Linked DNA regions of Schizosaccharomyces pombe. The gene in region 4 interacts genetically with the main gene of each other region. Each region holds a gene or a part of one and is shown on either strand. Other genes may lie near its edges.

Region 1 (3,991 bases), on a different chromosome or scaffold from region 4:
GTCATCTGCATGAGATAGTTCTTTTAACTTGCTGATCGAAAATTCTATGTCATTAACTTATTTATCACACCAATTTATATCTTACTATTTTTATTTAAACCCTTCACGAGACCGTTTTCTCTTAAAGAGCCTTTTCTCTGCATTTTCAAGTTGCTTGATTTGGGCATGTTGATTGTTTACGTTTCAGAAAAATATATGCCCGCCTTAAGATTTGCCTGTAAACAGAAGCACAATTTTCAAATAAACAATATAGAAAAAAGACAAATAATAAAAATAATTCTTTAAATTCTAAAACTGCTTGTTTTTTTTTAAGTTGATTATTACGATAATTAATTTTAAGAATTTCGTAAACAAACAGCTGTTTGTAGACTTATTTAGCGATAATCAGATAATGGCTCTTTTATTATCAATATGTTTTTTTTTACTTTTAATAGAGTTTTTCGGAATGTTCTCGTTTATATTTACTCAAACTCAAAATTCCATAATTTAAACATCCTTAACTAGTATCGATCAAGGAAGCGCTATTCTCTTTTCTCTTAATGCTCATACACATACAAACAGCTCTTTCTAAAAAATTGTATATTGATTATATCTCCTTTATCACCCAACAATCCAAATCATCCAAAAGTCCTATATCCAAAGTGTTTGTAACACTTAACTAAAAAAAAATTTCCTAACTCAAATACAAAATGATACCCTGATTTTTTTTGAAACCTAAGAAAAAGATAGGCGATAAAAAGAGTTAATAGAATACATAGTTTAATCCGCGATCTTCTTAAACACGGGAGTTAAAGTATGTTCATCTTCAACATGAAAATTTAGTGAACGCGAACAAGCTTGACTTCAAAAACTAAGGTAGAATTCTTGGGAATTCCTGGAATGCTCTGGTTGCCGTAAGCCATGGGAGCAGGAATTGTAATCTTACGCTCACCGCCTTCTTGCATTCCAGCAACGCCGACGTCCCACCCGCGAATAACCTCACCACGACCAAGGATAAAAGCAAAGGGTTTACCTTTAGTGTTTTTGTCAAAAACCTTTCCATTTTCGAGCTTCCCAATATATCTCATTTCAACTTTTTTCCCATTGGTAGCAGACGCACCGCTCCCAGTTTTAACATCAGTTACAACCACGCCTCCTTTTAAAGTACGAGTCTTGGGACTAGAAGGTGCATTAGAAGAAGCTTGTTGCTTTTCTTTCTTAGCAGCGGGACCAGTAGGTCCTTGTTCAAGTTTTTCGGCAAATGCAACCTTCTTTTCCTTAACAGGGGTACCCTCAACCTTTTGCTTCTTGGTATTGTTTTTCTTAGGAGAAGCAGCCTCTTCTTGCTCGGATTCATCCTTAGTACGTTTTTTTTTAACCTGTGCCTTTTTAGCAGGAGCTGAATCCAATTCATCCTCCTCAGATGCTGAATTATCTTCCGACTCAGATTCCTCTTCACTTTCCTCATCACCGCTGACAGTCTCGACAAGATCCTCCTCAGTAGGAGACAAATCGTAATCCTCGTCAGATTCTTCCTCTTCCTCATCTTCTTCGTCAACCAAAAAGTTACCAGACAAGTGGATGGTTGCATCGCCAGATGCACTGAAGAAGACTTCGTCGCCAGGAGTAATGGTCAAATTTAAAGGCTGTTGGTATAAGGAACCAGGCTTCAAAGTACATAAAACAAATTCACGCTGGCTTTCTTCCAGAAGCTCTTGCATTTGTTCGTCAAGTTCTTCGTCATCTTCATCTTCAACGGGGATACGGGGACGAACCTTCACCAATAAAGTAGTTGGTTTATTAGACTTTTCGCCGGCATCAATGGATGCCATAGTCAAATGAATAGATGCATCTGTAGATTCCTCCACAGCGGGAACATCTTTTCCCTTTACCGAAAGACTATAAACAGCAATTGGAAGAGACATGACTTATTCTTGCCTAAGAGGTGAGGTGGTAGAGGATGTAAAAAATTTTGATACATAAACCGTTGTGTATTCCATTAAGTAAGGGTAGTGCGTATTACCGCGATTTGCAAATTATACTCAAAATTAATTAAATTTGGACGAGCGTGCATCACAACAAACGCGTAGTAATTATTTTTGATATTTCGTTGTTTTTTACTTTGAAATAGTTTGGCTTCACGAGTTTTGGGATAAGGTTAAATAATGAAAGAAAAAAGCTCTTGCAGTTAGTTTTTCTTTATAAACATTGTTTGTTTATTAATTACACTTTTTCCGCTTAAGTGGCTACATTATTATTTGTATTATTTTCCTTTCAGAAACATATTAATACTTATATTTACTGAAAGTGAGAAGCGCGCTGGATGGCTTTTAATCAAAGGAAGCGTCGACGCCCAGTAGGGATTGCAGACTTTGACGAAGCAAACGATGAGGCATACGAAAGTGTTGGGTTCCACGACTATGCAGATTATTTTTCCCGGAAACAAAGAAAGCTTCAAAATCAAAATGCCGCTCTATACAAAAGTATTGATGAAGATTCTAAATCTGATCTCTTTCATGGACTTGCAATAGCGATTAATGGATATACAAAGCCGTCTTATACCGAATTACGGCAAATGATAGTTTCAAATGGAGGTACTTTTATACAATATGTTGATGGAAAAACAAGCATATCATATTTGGTGTGTTCATTTCTCACTCCTTCCAAAGCTCGCCAATGGAAGCATCAGAAAGTGGTTAAACCAGAATGGATAGTGGATTGCATCAAACAGAAGAAAATTCTTCCGTGGATAAATTATCGTACCTTTCAAGCTTCATCGGCTCAAGCTACCCTTTCTTTTGTCGCCTCTAAACCTAGCCAACCCGAAGGTAACTTAGAAGATATTCAAACAAGCTCGCAGGAAGAAGAACATGATAATGAAAAAGATAAAACAAAAGAGAGTAAAGCAAAGGGATTTTTAGATGATTTGAGTGGATTATCAGCGTCTTCACTGCACAACTATCAATTGTTAAAAAATCCCAATGTCCGAAATTCAACCACTCAAAATCAAGATTTTCTTGAGAATTTCTTTAGCTCCTCTCGTTTACATCACTTAAGTACTTGGAAAGCTGATTTTAAAAATGAAATCCAAGCAATGACTACTGCTTCTGAACCTGTTCGTCCAATTATGAAAGATAAATCAAAAAAATCTCGTTTCCTTCTTCATGTTGATTTTGATTGCTTTTTTGCTTCCGTTTCAACACGCTTTTCTCATGAGCTACGACTGAAGCCCGTTGCTGTTGCTCATGGTATAAAAAATTCCGAAATAGCTAGTTGTAATTATGAGGCTCGGAAGTTTGGCATAAAAAATGGTATGTACGTTGGAACAGCTAAAAACCTGTGTCCTTCATTACGGGTTGTTGATTATGATTTTGGAGCATACGAATCTGTTTCTAGAGAATTTTACACTATCCTTGTTAATACACTTCACGACTATATTAAGGTTATAAGTATAGACGAGGCTCTTCTAGATATAACTTCTAGTGTTTCATCTTTTCAAGATTGCTTTGAGATTGCCGAGTCTATCCGCTCGCAGGTTCGCGAGAAAACCAATTGCGAAGTTAGCGTTGGTATTGGCCCAAATGTTCTCTTAGCAAGACTTGCACTTAGGAAGGCGAAGCCTCACAACGTTTATTCTTTGTCAATAGAAAATGTTTTTGATGTATTGAGTCCTTTGTCTGTTCAAGATTTACCAGGGGTGGGCTCTTCACAAGCGCAGAAACTTTTTAATTTGTACGGTGTGCGTACTATTGGGCAGCTGCAAAGAATTGAAAAATTCAATCTTCAAGAGACTTTTGGGGTAAATTACGGTCTGCATTTATACAATATTTCCAGAGGAATTGATACCGATATAATCAATAATGAAACCCCACGGAGGTCCATATCCGTAGATGTTAATTGGGGTGTTCGTTTCGTTTTTCAAGAGGATGGGATAGATTTCTTAAAACGGTTGCTTCATGAGTTGCTTTCCAGAATGGGTAAATGCCAAGTGCTTTTGCATCAAATTCAGCTT
Region 2 (7,716 bases), 760 kb from region 4:
TTAGCACCGGCTCCTAAACCACCAAACAAACCTGTCCCTGCTGGTTTAGGAGCAGTGGTAGCAGTGGATCCAAAAGCTGGCTTGGGAGCATTATTAGCATTTTGCCCAAAAGAAAAACCTCCGCTGGCAGGAGTAGTGGTCGTGGAACCAAAACCGAATCCAGAAGGCTTAGTGGCTGCATTATTATTGGCACCAAAGGAAAAATTACTACTATTGTTACCACCAAAAGTAGATGTTGGAGCGGTGTTATTATTTGCCGTATTATTATTAGCGCCAAAACCAAACAAACCTGTACCCATGGTACCTGAATTGGGTTGGTTATTCGTGTTGCTTCCAAACCCCCCAGTAGAAGAACCAAATCCCGTACCCGTACCAGTGGCAGCACCACCAAATAAGCCACCCGTAGTTTGACCTGTTCCTGTATTGGTTGCGTTATTTGAACCAAAAAGACCCGTTCCTGTACCAGTATTGGTAGTGTTAGTGGTTGAGCCAAAACCTGAAAAAGCTGGTTTTTGTTGATTAAATGTAGAGCCACCAAAAAGACCGGTTGAAGGAGTTGAGGTGGTATTATTGTTTTGACCAAATAACCCACCGGATGCATTATTTGTTCCAGAACCAAACCCTGTATTGGTAGTGTTACTACCAAATGCAGATCCACCGCCAAAGAGACCGGAACCAGGAGTGGTATTAGTAGCATTCGATGTACCAAACGGTGTTGCATTATTTGTGGTACCTGACAAATTCTGACCAAACGGAGTAGTTGAAGCTCCAAATGCGGGTGTTGAACCAAATGCAGAAGTAGTGTTCGTACTAGAAGCATTGCCAAAACGTCGTCCTTGATTATAGTCTTGTAAACGCAACTCTTCAAATGAATAAGATCTATAAGCGGGCATACAAGTTATAGACTGGAAGACACTAGTACCGTTTGTTTGAGGGTCTTTTTCAGAAGTTACCGCATAAGGTGGGTTAGCTGTACCATTCACAGCGTTTGCATTGCTTGAGACAAATCCAGAGGTTCCGAAAGCGTTGGTCGTAGCGGGTGTAGTGGACGAACCAAACAAGCCACCACCAGTACCTTGCGAACCAAACCTGTATTTCCAGCAGTATTGCCAGCGTTATTTTGAGAACCAAACAAGCCACCACCGGTACCAGTATTCGATGCAGTGTTACCGAACCCTGTTGAACCAGCGTTCGATCCAAAAGAAAATGACGTTCCAGTATTTGCATTGTTGTTGGCGGTATTTGATCCAAAGAGGCCACCACCACTAGGATTTGTGGCGTTGTTCGTGCCTCCAAAAGCAGGAGTATTGGATTGGCCAAACATACCTGTCCCAGAGGACATTCCAAAACCTGTGCCACCAGTCGTGGTAGTGTTGTTTCTATTTCCAAATAGTCCACCGTTCGTATTTGATCCAAACAAGGGTTGAGTAGTGTTCTGCCCAAAGCCAGTTGTAGAAGTGTTTTGGGAACCAAACAAAGTGTTCCCTGGAGTATTGGAGTTGGAACCAAATAACCCACCAGTTTGTTGATTATTTTGACCGAAAGCACCGGTTCCTCCTCCAAATCCGGAAGAATTGTTTTGTCCAAACATCACTAGGATGATATTTGATTAAATAATTAGTAAAGTCACCAAAATTGGTGTTGTGTGGACGACAGGTCCGAATAGTGCACTGCTACTCAAGATACGTTCAAGGCGTGATAGAGAAGAATACAGAAATTTAGCTTTTTTTTTAATACTCACGGTAATTACAATTTTTAAATTTGCTTCATTTGTTTTTCTCAACGTAATTGTCGCATTTCTTCTAACGTGGTATTATTTCTGTACATCGAGGTTGATCACTTACTTCTCGTATACGTACACTGGTGCTTCATAAGTCATCGAACGTTGATTCCAGGCTAGAAAATGTCTTCGGGGGGACTTGAAGATGATATTCAGCTGGTACACGAGTTTTTGGATGTATCTTTTGAGGATATAAAACCCCTGGTGTCTGTCAATGGTTTCGCTGTATTTATATCTGCTATTAAAACCAAGGTTAAAGACATAAACGCTTTAAAGGATCAGCTTGTCCTTCAAGAAGTCAACCATGAGCATAAGGAGAATGTTCTTACGAAGAAGATTAACTTTCTTGAGCAACAACTTCAATCTTCTAATAATCAAGCAGAGGAATCACGTAATCTTATATCGGTATTGAGAAATGAGAACGAATCGCTGAAAACCAACTTGGAGAATCAAAATAAGCGCTTTGATGCATTGACTACTGAGAACCAGTCGCTTAGAAGGGCTAACTCTGAATTACAAGAGCAATCTAAGATTGCTTCTGAGCAGCTTTCAATCGCGAAAGATCAAATCGAAGCCCTACAAAATGAAAATTCACATTTAGGAGAGCAAGTCCAGAGTGCGCATCAAGCATTGTCTGATATTGAAGAAAGAAAGAAACAGCACATGTTTGCTAGCAGTAGCAGTCGTGTCAAGGAAGAGATACTCGTTCAGGAGAAAAGCGCTTTAGTCTCTGATTTGGCTAGTTTGCAATCAGATCATTCGAAAGTTTGCGAAAAATTAGAAGTTTCATCTCGTCAAGTTCAAGATTTGGAGAAAAAGCTTGCTGGGCTTGCCCAACAGAATACAGAGCTTAACGAAAAAATACAGCTTTTTGAGCAAAAGCGGAGCAATTATTCCTCCGATGGGAACATATCAAAAATCCTTGAAACCGACCCCACTTCAATCAAAGAACTTGAAGAAGAAGTGGAAACTCAGAAACGACTTACAGCTCTTTGGGAGTCTAAATCTTCAGAGTTGCAATCAGAGGTTGCTGCACTTCAAGAAAAGCTCACTTCGCAACAAAGTCTATACAATAATGTGACCGAAGAGTTAAATAATAACAAGCAACAGCTATTGATTTCGGAGAATAGTTTGCGGGAACTGCAAGAGAAATATGATAGTGTAGTTAGTGAACTACAAGTGGTTAAAGAAAATAAAAATACCTCTGTTTCAGCTGGTGTAGGTTTGTTTTCTCCTTTGGCGCAAAAGTTAAGCGCCGTTCAAAATCCCGAATTTTCATTTACGAAAGTATATTCGGACAATATGAAACTCCAACAGAAGGTTTCTAGCTTAAAGCTTCAGCTAGACCGCTTGACTAACAAATTCTCCTCATTTTGTGAACAAGTTAAACAAAGGATTCCAGTTGTCAAACAACAGAGGAGTGAAATCGTTAGGAATAACATTTATATGAATTTTCTTAGCGAATCTTTGGAAACATCTAACAACAACCTAACCAAAGTACAAGCAGAGCTTTTATCGACCAAAATGCGCCAAGAAGCTTGTTACTTGCAGCTCACCGCATCTCGTACTCAATGCAGTGATCTTTCTCGAGAAGTTATTTGTCTCATGGCCGAACTTGATCATTTGAATGAAACTAAATCAAGAAACGTTCCCGCTACTGTGCAAGTTGCGCTTGATGAATACGCTCAAAATCCCTCTACTGCATCTGAGACACTAGTAAACAAGGAGCTTGCTAATTTTTCATCTATAAAGGAAGCTGTTTCGAAAACTCTAGAACTGCGGGAAAAAGTGCGGGCCCTTGAATGCGATGTTGAAATCCAAAAGCAAACTGTCCAATATCAAATTTCCAATGCAGTTAAAGAAAATTCAAATACACTTTCAGAGCAAATCAAAAATTTGGAAAGTGAGTTAAATTCGTCAAAAATAAAAAATGAGTCCTTACTTAATGAACGAAATTTACTGAAAGAAATGTTAGCTACTTCTCGAAGCAGTATTTTGTCTCACAATTCTTCCGCGGGCAATATTGATGACAAAATGAAATCCATTGATGAATCTACAAGAGAACTTGAGAAAAATTACGAAGTTTATCGTAACGAAATGACAGCTATTCAGGAATCCTTGTCTAAGCGAAATCAGGATTTGTTGAGTGAGATGGAAGCAATACGTAAAGAGTTAGAAAATTCCAAATATCAGCAGCAGTTATCTACTGATAGATTAACTAATGCTAATAATGACGTTGAAGCCTTTAAAAAGGAAGCCAAGGAGCTTCGTAGTATTAATCAAAATTTACAGGATATAATTAGTCGACAGGATCAGAGAGCCAGTAAATTTGCCGAAGAATTATTACATGTTAACTCACTTGCTGAAAGATTAAAAGGTGAACTAAATGCTTCGAAGGGTGAAAAAGATTTACGGAAAAGGACGCAAGAGCGTTTAATATCTGAAAACGATAAACTTTTGGCTGAGCGCGAGAGACTAATGAGTCTTGTATCAGATCTTCAAACTTTTCTTAACCAGCAACAGCTATCTGATGCTGCTAGAAAAGTAAAATTTGAATCTGAGAAGGAAAGCTTAAGCCTTTCCTTGCAGAAGTTGAAGGAGTCAAATGAAAAGATGAGTAATGATCTTCATTCTCTACAGAAATCTTTGGAAAAGAGCGGAATTGAGTACTCCAGCAGGATTAAGACATTAATGCTCGAAAAACAATCGTTAAGTGAAGACAACAGGAAATTGTTAGATAATCAACAAATGATGGAAATAAAACTCCAAGAATTAAACGGCGTCATTGAACTTGAAAAACAAAGATTTTCTACTTTGGAAGCCAAGTTTACACAGCAAAAAAATACGTCCTATAGCGAAAGGGAAGCTTTGCTAGAATCATCGCTTAGTGACTTGCAATCTAAACATACTTCCTTAGAATCCCAATACAATTATTCTTTAAGGAATATTGAACAGTTACAGGCCGCAAGCAAACTCGCCGAAGAAATGGTTGAAAGAGTTAAAACTGAGTATGATGAGTATCGATTGCAAACTTCAGAGTCCTTGGAAAAAAATCATTTAAAAATCACTTCTCTTGAACAAAGGATAGTTATTCTACAAGATGAGATAGCTTCTTCTTCTTTACGCTGTGAGAATATTACTAAAGATAGCGAAACAAGAGTTGCCTTGCTTTTAGAGGAAAATAAGCATCTTAACAATGAGCTTTCGTCACACCGAAATGCTGAAAAGCAACATTTAGAGAAGGAGAATGATTATAAACAACAGTTGTTGTTGGTAACTGAAGATTTAAGAAAAACTCGTGAAGATTATGAAAAGGAACTTTTAAGACATGCCGATGCTAGATCGACTCTTCAAAAACTGCGCGAGGATTACACGAAGGCATTAGAACAGGTTGAAGATTTGAATAAAGAAATAGCCTTAAAGGCCGGTATAAACGAATCTCAGCCCTTTCCCATTAGTGAAAAAGAAGATCCTTTGAGACAGGAAGTTTATGTCCTCAAAAAGCAAAACGCAATGCTTTTAACCCAACTTCAATCTTCCAATCTCAACTTTGCAGAAATAACTAGCCCATCCCCGGATTTAGATTCTGTTATGAAATTAGGATTATCAGATTTACAGAATCATGTGAAGCGTATATCCAAAGAAATGGAGATTATTTCATGCCAACGACAATTATTATTCCTTGAAAATAAGAAACTCAAGCGAACCGTTGAATCATCGAATCGAGTTATCGCCGATCTGCAAAGAGGTATAACGGAAAAGGATGTTAGCAGTACTTCTGAATCCGTTGGGGAACGTTCAAATTATCTAAACATGGTTGCTTTATTAAATGAGAGCAACAAATCTCTCCGAGAAAATTTAGAAAGGAACGAGGAAGTTATCACAGAGTTAAGAGAGAAAATAGAAACTCTTAAAACTGATTTGGCGAATTTTAGACTTAATAAAGAACAACTAGAATCACAGCTTCAAACAGAGAAAGCAGCTGTAAAAAAGCTTGAAAACAGCAACGAAGAATACAAGCGTCATAACCAAGAAATATTACTATCTTTGAACAGTAGCACATCTACGTCTAGTGATGCTTCACGCTTAAAGAATGAACTTGTTTCCAAAGAAAACTTAATAGAGGAGTTAAATCAAGAAATTGGTCATTTGAAATCTGAATTGGAAACTGTTAAATCAAAAAGCGAAGATTTGGAAAATGAGAGAGCGCAAAACCAATCCAAGATTGAACAATTAGAGTTGAAGAATACAAAACTAGCAGCTGCTTGGCGAACTAAATATGAGCAGGTAGTTAACAAGAGCTTAGAAAAGCACAATCAAATACGTCAACAACTTTCGCAAAAGACTTCTGAATTAGAAGCCAAGGTTGCGGAATGTCATCAGCTCAATGAACAACTCAACAAACCTTCTGCAACCCCCACTGCTACTACACAGTCTGAACCAAGTACGGTGTCACTGGAAGAATTCAATAGCACTAAGGAAGAACTATCTTCTACACAGCGAAAGCTAAGTGAAATTATGGATATCTTAAATACTACGAAGGAGGAGCTTGAGAAGGTCAGACAAAATAGTAATAAATCTGAGGGAACCAGTAAGGATACTGAAATACCCAACGAAGAAGAAATGGAAAGGAAGAAAGTCATGCAACAGGAAGTTTTGAGGTTACGTTCGAGAATTGCAAAAGAGCTACAGAAAAACGAATTACTCAGGAAACAAAATCAGGTTTTACAAGATCAAGTGAAAGCTTTGCAAGAGACAGTTGTGTCATCCGAGGAAGCAGAGTCCGCTTCGGTACATGCTGATACTAAAGATTTGGAAAACTTAAAAAAGACAGAAGAGATGTTATCAGTTACATTTCAAGTAATCTTCAACGAGTCCATATCTGACTTTTCGACTTCCACTGCCGACTTTACTACTTTTGTGCAAAAGGAATGGGAAAAGCGCAGAGAAATTTTACAGAAGGATGTTGAGGAACAAGTTGCTCAGTCGCATCAAAAACAACTAGATAACATCCGAAAAGAACTCGAGATGCGTAACAAGTTGAAGTTGAGCATGCTGGAAAAGAACTTAGCTAGAGTGCGAGCAGAGTTGGAGCAATCGAAGAAAAAAGATAGCCCTGCAATTTTAAGTTTGGAAGCTTCTAAAAACACTGATTCCAATAAAAGCAATTCTGAAGTCCCAGCAGCTCAAGTTAAAGAGAAAAAGTTAATCGCCAAAACTCACTCTGTTGACACTAATTCTCCTCCTAAACGGTCCAGTTCAGACGCTGGTATGGATGTTTCCAATGATGTTAAGAAAGCCAAATAGTAAAATATGAATTTTTTGGTATAATGCCCTTTTTAATGTTTCTTAAGAGTTTGTAAACAGATAATAAAATAGGTTAGCTGCATAATTATTATTTCTGGTTTCCAATAAAAAAAACGACTTTAATTTTATTATAATAAAAAGCTTTGTATTGTAATTTAATATTTTGATATTTTTTGAAGAGCTATAGATATTTTGCGCAACTAATGTCCTTATTCAGATATGTAAGCTACGCAGTTTGGTATCTGATTTAAGGATACGTAGAACTGCGGTGAGTTTTCCTTGTGGTCTATTATATTACAATACACAGGTTGTATAAGTAGCAACTGAGTATAGGTATTGTATTAACTGGGTTATAATGTTACCTATCACTAATATAGCTCATAACTGAACTGAGGAACGAGGTTCAGTTGTAACGGTATTTATAATATTTCTAAATAGTTGTTATCAACGGGTAACTATGTATATAGACGGATAGTTACCCGTGATTATCAATAAACGGATCTTAGCTAGTATTCCAACATATGACATATAGTGATACGCAACGTAGTGTATCATAGCGTAGTGTAGTATTGCTGACAAGATAAAATAAATAATGACGTTTTCGCGTGTTCTTAAGCTTAAGAACGTAA
Region 3 (3,842 bases), on a different chromosome or scaffold from region 4:
ATGTTTTACACTTCGTAACTCGACTGTTAAACTTGCGTTCACGTTTGGTACCTTACCAAAAGTTTCTCTTACAGACATTTCCTCTTAACGAGGTTTCTCCCTCCCTCGATCCGAGAATTTCAAAATCTCTTCGAAACTTGCAAGATCTTTATAAATTGTTGGCCATACGGGATACCAGTTTTTCCAATACCACACCCTCTTCCATATCCAAGTTGAGCATTCAACCACCGACCTTCCAATTGTTTTCCACTCTAGAAACCATATACTTAGAATTAAAAGACTCCATGCCTCCTAATGAAGCGGCAGATTGGATGATAGCCACAACGTCTTGTATGCTCGCTCAGTTTGCTTTACACTCACCATATGCCTTTTTCCACGACATTCCTAGTATTTCGCATTTCTTAAATAAATGCCTTCCACCTACCATACTCGACTTGCTACAACAAATCCAAAGAAAGGCAGAAGCCAGCTCCATAAGTCCGACTACGGAAACAGCTACGAAAACACGACTCAAGTTTCAGTTTATTGAAATGATCTTTTCATAATATTATATTATTATTAATAGTAGAATTACTTTACAATCTTTCCAAACATATATAAAATCATTTGCATAGCAAACATACCAAACCACATCAACTTCGCACACTGGATTCTTTGGGATATTTTGAATGTGAATAATAATATTCCATTCACCATCAATCTAAATCACCAACATAAACAATAATAATAATAATAAATCCATTAATAAACCAAGATGCCCAGGAGTGGAACGGGAAATGGAGTGTGAGAAGTGTCTGTATGAGTGCCAATGACACAAATTATTTCCATACATGGCGGAAAGGAACAAACAGTCGAAAAAAAAGAAACTCAACTCTCCAACCAGTGGTGATAGCTATAAAATGCACAAGGGAAGAAGATTAACCAAGGGAAGAAAAAGCATCTCGTCCCCGTCGAATCGAACACAAAACCCAATTTGATCCAGTACGACTTGTGCAAAACAAAACACCTTTCAACTCCACGAACCGGTCATAGAAATGAAGAACCATGTGTAATGTAAAAAAAACTATCGCGTGATGTGCTGCACCTGTGTTGTTGTTGTCGTCATTGTACGGGGAATAAAATAGGAATGCGATACAAAAGGCGGAAATGGAAAAGAGGAGGGAACGAAAACGTTAAAAAAGGGAGGAGGAAAATATATATTTCCAAAAGAGCAAATAACCTACCCCCTTTTGTTTCGTGAGGTTGTCATTGTCGAAATGGAAGGCTGTGGAAACTCATCAGCTGACTAAAAGACGATTGCACAATCGTGCGATTCGCTTACTGAGCAGAAGAAGAATACTTGGTGACGGATTTGGTACCTTCGGTAACGGCGTGCTTGGCTAACTCACCGGGAAGAATCAAACGAACAGCAGTCTGGATTTCACGGGAAGAAATAGTGGACTTCTTGTTGTAAGCAGCAAGCTTGGAAGCCTCAGTGGCAATACGCTCAAAAATATCGTTGACGAAAGAGTTCAAGATACGCATGGCTTGGTTGGAAATACCAGTATCAGGGTGAACTTGCTTCAACACCTTGTAAATATAGGATGAATAAGTTTCCTTTCTGTTTTTACCACGCTTCTTATCAGCAGACTTCATGGTATCCCTAGGAGCCTTACCGGCGGGAGCCTTGGAAGCGGGTTTCTTTTCAGCAGCAGACATTTTTTACGATTTAAAAATTGGTTGTCGAGAGAATCTCAAAATTGATGGACTGAACTAAGTAATTGCAATTGTAGGAATTTGATAATCCTAAACTTTCGTGCAATATCAAGTTGTTGGTATTAACTAACATGCCTGCAGGCGACGCGATGGTTATATACAACTTGGGCATCACAACCCTAACCCTGGTGTTTAGCCATGCGACGCGGAAACGTCATCTACAAGAACGCGTTAGACGTGCTTATACGGAAGATTAGAATTAGTATATATATGAAGGGTGCGCGCTCCTATGTCTCCTTTTCCCTATATCGCGACTTTTCGTTGTTTAGGATACCTTTTGATCCATACACGTATTGAAATTGATATAAACAATTGATCCTTAGTTGATAAGGAGATTGATTGTCCGTAAAGGCTGAAATTGCGAGAAAATTCTGTTAATTTCACCAAATTTGATCCATTCGCTGCTTCATCGTTGACTGTTATCTTTTTTCATTAAAGAAGGAAAAATCTTTTTTTTTTAACTCAAACTTTTATTTTTTTTATTTAGTTTCAGTATTTTTCGTCATGTCTGGAGGTAAATCTGGTGGTAAGGCTGCTGTTGCCAAATCTGCTCAATCCCGTTCTGCCAAGGCCGGTTTGGCTTTCCCCGTTGGTCGTGTCCATCGTTTGTTACGTAAGGGTAACTATGCTCAACGTGTTGGTGCTGGTGCTCCCGTTTACTTGGCCGCCGTTTTGGAATATTTGGCTGCTGAAATTCTCGAATTGGCTGGAAACGCTGCTCGTGACAACAAGAAGACTCGTATCATTCCCCGTCATCTTCAACTCGCCATCCGTAACGATGAAGAGTTGAACAAACTTCTTGGTCACGTTACCATTGCTCAAGGTGGTGTTGTTCCCAACATCAACGCCCATCTTTTGCCCAAAACTTCTGGTCGCACTGGAAAGCCTAGTCAGGAGCTGTAAAGTCAGTCGTCAAGTAAAACATTTTGAAAGAGGATGAAGGGAAAGACATTGAAAAGTTGTAAAGGACCTTTCTTTTTTTACAACCCCGCAATACTTTTTTTGGTTGTTTCTCGCTTCTAAACCATGTTTGGTTCTTTTTCCTTTTGAACTTTTTGCGTCTTTCTTTTTCTTTGCTGTTATTGTTTTCGTTATGCCTGAACTTTAAGGATGTTTTAGATGCAGCCAAGTCATTCTCTACTAGTTACTTTTACTAGTACTTGAAGGGCTTTTGCACAAGTAATTCCTACTTGAACTGGCTCCTTTGGTTTTTTTTATTTCTTTTTTATTCTCCCTTAATTATAATATTGTATAGTAATGAGTATATTTTTCAAAATCCTATATGAGAGTATGTATCAAATGAATAAATAGATTGTAGAGTGGAGATGAACAGATTGATGAAAGGAGTGTCATTAAACATTGAATCGAGCAGTACATGCAAAAGAATAGTACTTAATTTTTTTTTACAATTAATGCTTTTGAATTTCCAGAATTTTTTTTCGATGCAGTTTTTTTACTCTTCTTTCGTGAAACGGTAGACGTTTGCTTCTTTTGAGTTTTTTCCTTCGCCGATTTCGAAGCTCGGTCGCACCAGTACAGCACAATTCCAACTAAAAGACCAAGCATTTCATAAATTGAGAATGCTTAGATTTGGTAATTTTCACGTTTATTTTCCCTTTTTTTCTGTCTATATTTCTTATGGGCTATTTAGTCATTACGTCCAACCGATTGGTTAATGAATTGTACCCGGAACCGGTAAAGCCAGTTAACGAGAATATGTAAGCAATTTTTGGCAAGTTGGTGAATTTCACAAATTCATTTACCCATAATGCTGCTTTTATCGTTATTTATGGATAGTGATTGCTGTACGTCTCTTTATATGTTTGAAAAGAATACAATAAATAGGAAGGAGTTTGGAAAAAAATAGCTAGGTTCTTATGTAACTGTTTGATTTTTTTTTTTTTTCTTAGTTTTTTATTTTAATTTTAATTTTTGTTAGAAATCGATTTCATCGTATCTATTTAGGATTTTTCAATATTTTTTCTTTTTTGCCAATGTATTTTTATAGTTGTATGAAAATTATAATACTAATATCAGTCAATAAATAGCCATTGCAGTTTATTATTTTTATATTATATCAAAAAATA
Region 4 (5,309 bases):
TGCGACATCGATTGTATTTCGTGGATTTTTTCACGTACGGAATCTTGCTGCGTTAAATCCACTCCTTTCAATATTTCTTCATCTTCTTCATCTTCTTTTTGCTTTTGAACTTCAAGGAATTTCTTATTACAAGAGTCATCAGTCCCAACATCCTCTTCAGTAATATCTTTCAACAGGTCAGGAGGTAGTTCGAATATTGAGGTTAATTCTTGTGCAGCTTCCTCAAAAATCTCAGCGAATTCACGAAGATACTCCGACAATGACATCGACTTTTTTTGTGTTTGTTTTTTTTGTTATAATGATGGTTCTTGATCAAAAGGAGAAGGGGAATGCTTACCTATTCCTCGATCAGTTCAGTGTTGACTTATAGTGTGGTCCAGTGCAATGCGGAATGTGATATCCGTGCCATCACACTATTGTAAAAGCCGTAGATATACTTTGATCAATTTTAAGCTACGCATTCAAATAGTAACTTAATTTTTGCTCTCTTAATTGTTAAATCATCATTACTAAATATTTGAGCAGGCTCTTGAGAACATCTGCACCTTAACATTATTAAAAAGTATATGTAAACAAATTATTATTACTACGGTTGACTGATTAAAAGAAAACCACATCATAAATTCATACGAGTCCTTTGAATTTATCTTTTTTGTACACAGTACCAAGCTCATTTCAAGACTTCAAGCCTTTGATTTCTAAGTTCTTAAAAGGTGAAAGAGTTATAATAGTCAAATAAACCAGTGGAACATTTAATTATCATGAGCTATTAGTGTTCTTATTTCATCTTTTTCGGAAGAAAAAGAGAGCAAAAAATGAAAAAAAGTTGTCCAGCATCAGACAAATTTGTTACTCTGCCTAGTGTTAACAAAATATATAGAAGATAGACCGCAGTAAAGCGAGACAAAGAAATTAAATGAAATATAAAGATTATTTTTTTTAAACATTTGTCCAGCTTGCATAGCTTCGCCTTGACAAAATTTTCTGGCTCATTTATCTTTTAGATTTTCGTTTTTTACTTTCCCATTCATGCCAACTTCCTTGCATGTTTTTCAAACTAAACACATAAGTTAGATAAATATCATTCAACGATAAATTTTATACTTACATGACTGCTGGCTCTGGAGGTGGGCTCTCAGAAGTGAAATACTCATGCATCAAGGTCTCATGAGCTGACGGTCTACAAAAGGGATTTAGGGCAAGGAGTTTTTGGCATAGGTCAATGGCGGCAGGACTTAAAATCTCCTTAAAAGTTTCAACAAAACGCGACTTCTTTTCCTCTACTGGCTTCAGAAGCTCATACCAAGGAAGATTTTTCACCTCAGGCCAAGAATGAACATCAGGGGTACCCATCATATCATAGATAACCTCTAACTGACTGATTTCGTCTCGCCCTTGAAAAAAAGGTTTTCCTGTAAACAACTCCATAACAATACAGCCAGCACTCCATATGTCCACGGCTGTGTCATATGCAGTTTCTCCAAGTAATAGCTCTGGAGGTCGAAACCAAAGGGTAATAACGCGATTAGTGTAGTTAGCCGACTTCGAAGATGTATTAAATCTCGCCAGACCAAAATCTGCGAATTTTAGATCACCATTGTTATTCAGTAATATATTAGAACCTTTAATGTCACGATGAAGCACCCCACGATGATGAAGATAAGCTAATGCTTCAAAAATTTGCTTCGAAAGGTGTTTTATGTTACCGGGAGTAAAATGTAATTGTGAATTTAGTAAGACTCCAGTTAAATCGTGATCCATGTACTCAAATACCATATATACAGAACCTAGAATTTTAAAATGTTAGAACTAGTTATAATTAAACGGTGAATGAGGACAGTATTTAATCGTACTTTTTTCCACCATAATTTCTAATAGCCGAACAATATTTTTGTGACGCAAACGCTGCAAGATTTTGACTTCACGGACAGTAGTTATAGGGAACTAGAAAGTTAGTCAATTTAGTTACGAGCTTGATTTTTATACTTACACCATCCTTTTCCTGCTCCAGCCTTATCCGTTTTAAAGCTACCAAATCTCCTGTGACTGTGTTAATGGCTTTGTATACTTTACCATAAGTTCCTTCTCCAATTTGGTCGATTTTCTCATAGGCAGGCTTTGGATATGTATATGTATAAATTGGGCCGGAAGGAGGAGAAGGAAGAGGAGCTGGAACAGACTCACGGGCCGTGGACGTGAGTGCCATACGTTTCGAAGGAGGTTGATCGAATCGAGATCGGCGTTCATTAGGTATATGAAAGTGAAATTTTCCATGTTTGTTCTCTGGAAAGCCAGAAGACACGCTAGATTTTTTTTGTGTATCGGAGGAAGTAGTTTCATGAGGGATAGAAGGAATAGGGGGAGGAGAAGATGAAGGTCTCCGCGATACCTTTCGACCGTTAAAAGCTGAAGGCTTCATATGTACAGAACTAGGCGGAGACCTTCGAAAAGAAGAAGCTTGCCTTTTTGAATCATTTCTGTTTGCGGACGGTGATATAGGTGAGACGGAGGCGCTAGAAGAGCTTTCAGAGCGTTTGGCAAAGTAATCCTTGGTAGTTAAATTACGTGCTCGTTTTTGACTACCTGAGCGGTAAAAGGAAGGTGATGGAGGTGAGCCAGGTCTAGGACTGAATGCCTTTTTACCCTTTCTCCTTCTAGATTTTCGAGAACGAAAAGGTCTTTCATGCTGTCTTGCTCGGGAAGAATGTGTATCGTTGAGAGGAAATGTTCTTTTCCGCTGTTCTCGAGGATCCTTCGCAGATGAGGATGGCGATATACTAGATGAATTATTTTTGAAAGCATTAGAGGACAGGGTGTGGCCTCCTAAAGACTCCTCATTTGTACCAGAAAGCTGAGACTTTTCTTCGACGGTACGCCGAAAGTGGCTATTTGGTTCTGTGCCTTGTCGGCGATAAATTGTACTCTTCGAGTATGACATTTAACAGGGTTAAAAAAAATAAAAAATAAAAAAAGGAATATTCCTAAACAATGAAGAGAATTACACGCAATCTGTGAGCGAAAATTCGATGGGAATAAAAGAAAAGAAATTAATCGTTAAAGTACGGCCAAATGTGTTTTTATGTAACAATAAATACAACTTCACCGGAAAAAAATCGTACAAGGGAAATAAAAGGTAAGCTGCCAAGACAAGCTAGTTAAATCCAGTGAAATAAATCATGCAATCTAATAAATGAAGAAAGGACAATTTTCAGAGTGGAGATTTTTTTCACCGCTAAACTATGAAGGGTGAACGTGAGACAAACCTTTTCAATCAATAGAGAAATCTAACCAGAGATTTGTGAATAAGTCGGTTGCAGAAATGTTATTGAAACGTAAATGTACAAAATATGAGTATCCACAAAATTAGGAAATACTTTTAAGTATCAACTCTTGCAGCTTAAAAAAATATACCGTAATTTTCTTTTAGTTGCACTCCTGATTTCTTTGATCTATCAATTCAAAATGTACATTGTTAAAAACACCAATTATCTCGAAATTTAATAAAGACAGAAATAAATTAGTTCTTCCTCTTCTATGACAATGAATGAAGTAGTTTGCAAGTCCACTAGTTTAATCAAGGGGCGATAGGTAAACTTCGTTGTTGGTGTGTAGTAGAAATAGAAATAAACGCGCGCGACTCAATTCCTTTACCACACCATACTTAAAATAATAAGTAATTTGAGGCTATGATGAATATCAGCTTGTTTTATAGAAATCAAAGTAAATAATGTATTTATTCAATGCTTAACTCTTAGCCATTTTCTCTTCCCCATTTGCTAAGATGGTCTTTTAACTATTAACTAAGTCCAACCAGTTATTCTCAATTCATATAATATTATTGGATTAAACCTTTTCATCTGAATTATATTAAGTTCATATTTAACATTTTAAAAAGCGATGAAGATAAATCTGGTAATCCGCATGGATCCTTGGAAATTGCCATTGGCGATAGTAAACCAAAGGAATCAAATGTCGACTAGATAAAGGCAAGTCTGAGCTTTTCTATTAGTTTTGAATCGTTTAAAATAATATTATTTATGAGAAATTAATATTCTACCATAAATTAGTGTTTTCCGTGAGTCTAAAGAATACAAAGTAAAATAATCAATAATATGCAACCCTTACATGTAAGGTAGGAGGGAATATATTATTTTACTGTATATAGAAGTTTTACATCCTTTCATAAGTATAACGTTATCACATTGGACGTTCTAGTAGAACGCCAGTCTTCAAAACATTAAAAATTCATATTCAGCCTCTCAAAATCTATTGTGTGCAAATTGTTTGCAAAGCTAAATTAATCAATAATATTTTTTTAAAAATTAAACAAAAATGCTTGGTTTTAGAAAGAACAAGGTTAGGTCAAGAGCTTCAAGATGAATAACTCATGGAATTCTGTTCCTGTTGTTTATTCAATTTTAAGAGTGATGATTTTGACATAAATTTGGTGCAATATTGTTTAAATAATAGTCTCATTAGTTAAACTAAATGTTTAAAAAAAAAAAAAATCATTGCAAAAAGCTAAATGAGCATAATTGATTTTTTATAAGTTTTTTTTTTCAAAAATGCAAACAAATAAATTAAATTTGTTTAATGAAATTAAAAAATAAAAAGGTAGATGATCGTACAAACGGCTACTACCAGTACGATATAATTTTTTATAAAAATTCCAAAACGTAAGCATAATTAATATGAAATAATAAAATATCATAGAAATTCAAGTGTACAAGGATCCTACGACCAAATGTTTGCTTTCATATGTATATATTCAATTCTAAATATTTATATAGCTTACTCAATTTGTGCAATTTTAACAAAGAAACGTGATTTTATTACAATAAATAGGTCATTAAAAAAATAAAAATTTGCACTTATATTCAATTGACTGACATACAAAACGTATTATCAGAGTTAGACTTAAATAAAATTTTCCTTATTCAACGGACATCCTATACTGGTTTCTGTGGATTTATGATATATTTGCATATGGTAAATTCAGCGAGAGAGTCCCTTGCACTCAATTATATTCACCAATAATACTTAATGAATCTTAATCGAAAAGACATGGACGTTGTGCTTTCAAATGCGAAAACCATATCTTCTTATTCAACATTTAATATGGGGTAAAAGTAGAGTACTTCTAATATCTTAAAGCAAAGCAAAAAAAATAAGCTCTTTTATTATGTTATATTTTCGTTAATAAAAATCGCTTCTTCAAACATTTATTCATCACAGGTGCGATATAAGAATCTGAGTTTGTACTCTATAGCAGCTCTTTTAGCTTTCAGTATTTAATTTATTCAAATGCT

Evidence for each region.
Region 1: mutations in lsk1 (region 4) and ani1 together harm fitness less than expected from each alone (positive genetic interaction), as found in Schizosaccharomyces pombe (2 studies listed by BioGRID).
Region 2: mutations in lsk1 (region 4) and alm1 are lethal when combined (synthetic lethality), as found in Schizosaccharomyces pombe (one study listed by BioGRID).
Region 3: of lsk1 (region 4) and htb1, changing one suppresses a phenotype caused by changing the other (phenotypic suppression), as found in Schizosaccharomyces pombe (one study listed by BioGRID).

The regions. Positions count from the first base shown.
Region 1 is NC_003423.3:4,062,470-4,066,460, reverse strand, and holds ani1 (FKBP-type peptidyl-prolyl cis-trans isomerase), read right to left. Parts: upstream 1,942-3,991; 5' UTR 1,905-1,941; coding exon 819-1,904; 3' UTR 501-818; downstream 1-500. Other genes in the region: sporulation specific PIL domain protein Meu14, read right to left, coding at 1-44, 86-167; deoxycytidyl transferase Rev1, read left to right, coding at 2,303-3,991. UniProt on the Schizosaccharomyces pombe protein: PPIase that acts as a histone chaperone. Histone proline isomerase that increases the rate of cis-trans isomerization at prolines on the histone H3 N-terminal tail. Proline isomerization influences H3 methylation thereby regulating gene expression.
Region 2 is NC_003424.3:3,190,903-3,198,618, reverse strand, and holds alm1 (nucleoporin Alm1), read left to right. Parts: upstream 1-1,851; 5' UTR 1,852-1,903; coding exon 1,904-7,087; 3' UTR 7,088-7,172; downstream 7,173-7,716. UniProt on the Schizosaccharomyces pombe protein: Maintains the proteasome and its anchor cut8 at the nucleus envelope and is required for kinetochore component proteostasis. Proper kinetochore stoichiometry ensures the correct attachment of kinetochores to spindle microtubules during cytokinesis.
Region 3 is NC_003421.2:1,410,340-1,414,181, reverse strand, and holds htb1 (histone H2B Htb1), read right to left. Parts: upstream 1,824-3,842; 5' UTR 1,699-1,823; coding exon 1,318-1,698; 3' UTR 546-1,317; downstream 1-545. Other genes in the region: exocyst complex subunit Sec5, read left to right, coding at 1-545; hta1 (histone H2A alpha), read left to right, coding at 2,260-2,658. UniProt on the Schizosaccharomyces pombe protein: Core component of nucleosome. Nucleosomes wrap and compact DNA into chromatin, limiting DNA accessibility to the cellular machineries which require DNA as a template.
Region 4 is NC_003424.3:3,952,100-3,957,408, reverse strand, and holds lsk1 (P-TEFb-associated cyclin-dependent protein kinase Lsk1), read right to left. Parts: upstream 3,614-5,309; 5' UTR 2,939-3,613; coding exon 1,991-2,938; intron 1,945-1,990; coding exon 1,854-1,944; intron 1,839-1,853; exon of another isoform or gene 1,788-1,838; coding exon 1,109-1,787; exon of another isoform or gene 1,058-1,108; coding exon 994-1,057; 3' UTR 540-993; downstream 1-539. Other genes in the region: SPOM_SPAC2F3.16 (ubiquitin-protein ligase E3), read right to left, coding at 1-266. UniProt on the Schizosaccharomyces pombe protein: Catalytic subunit of the CTDK-I complex, which hyperphosphorylates the C-terminal heptapeptide repeat domain (CTD) of the largest RNA polymerase II subunit. Involved in RNA polymerase II transcriptional elongation and pre-mRNA 3'-end processing.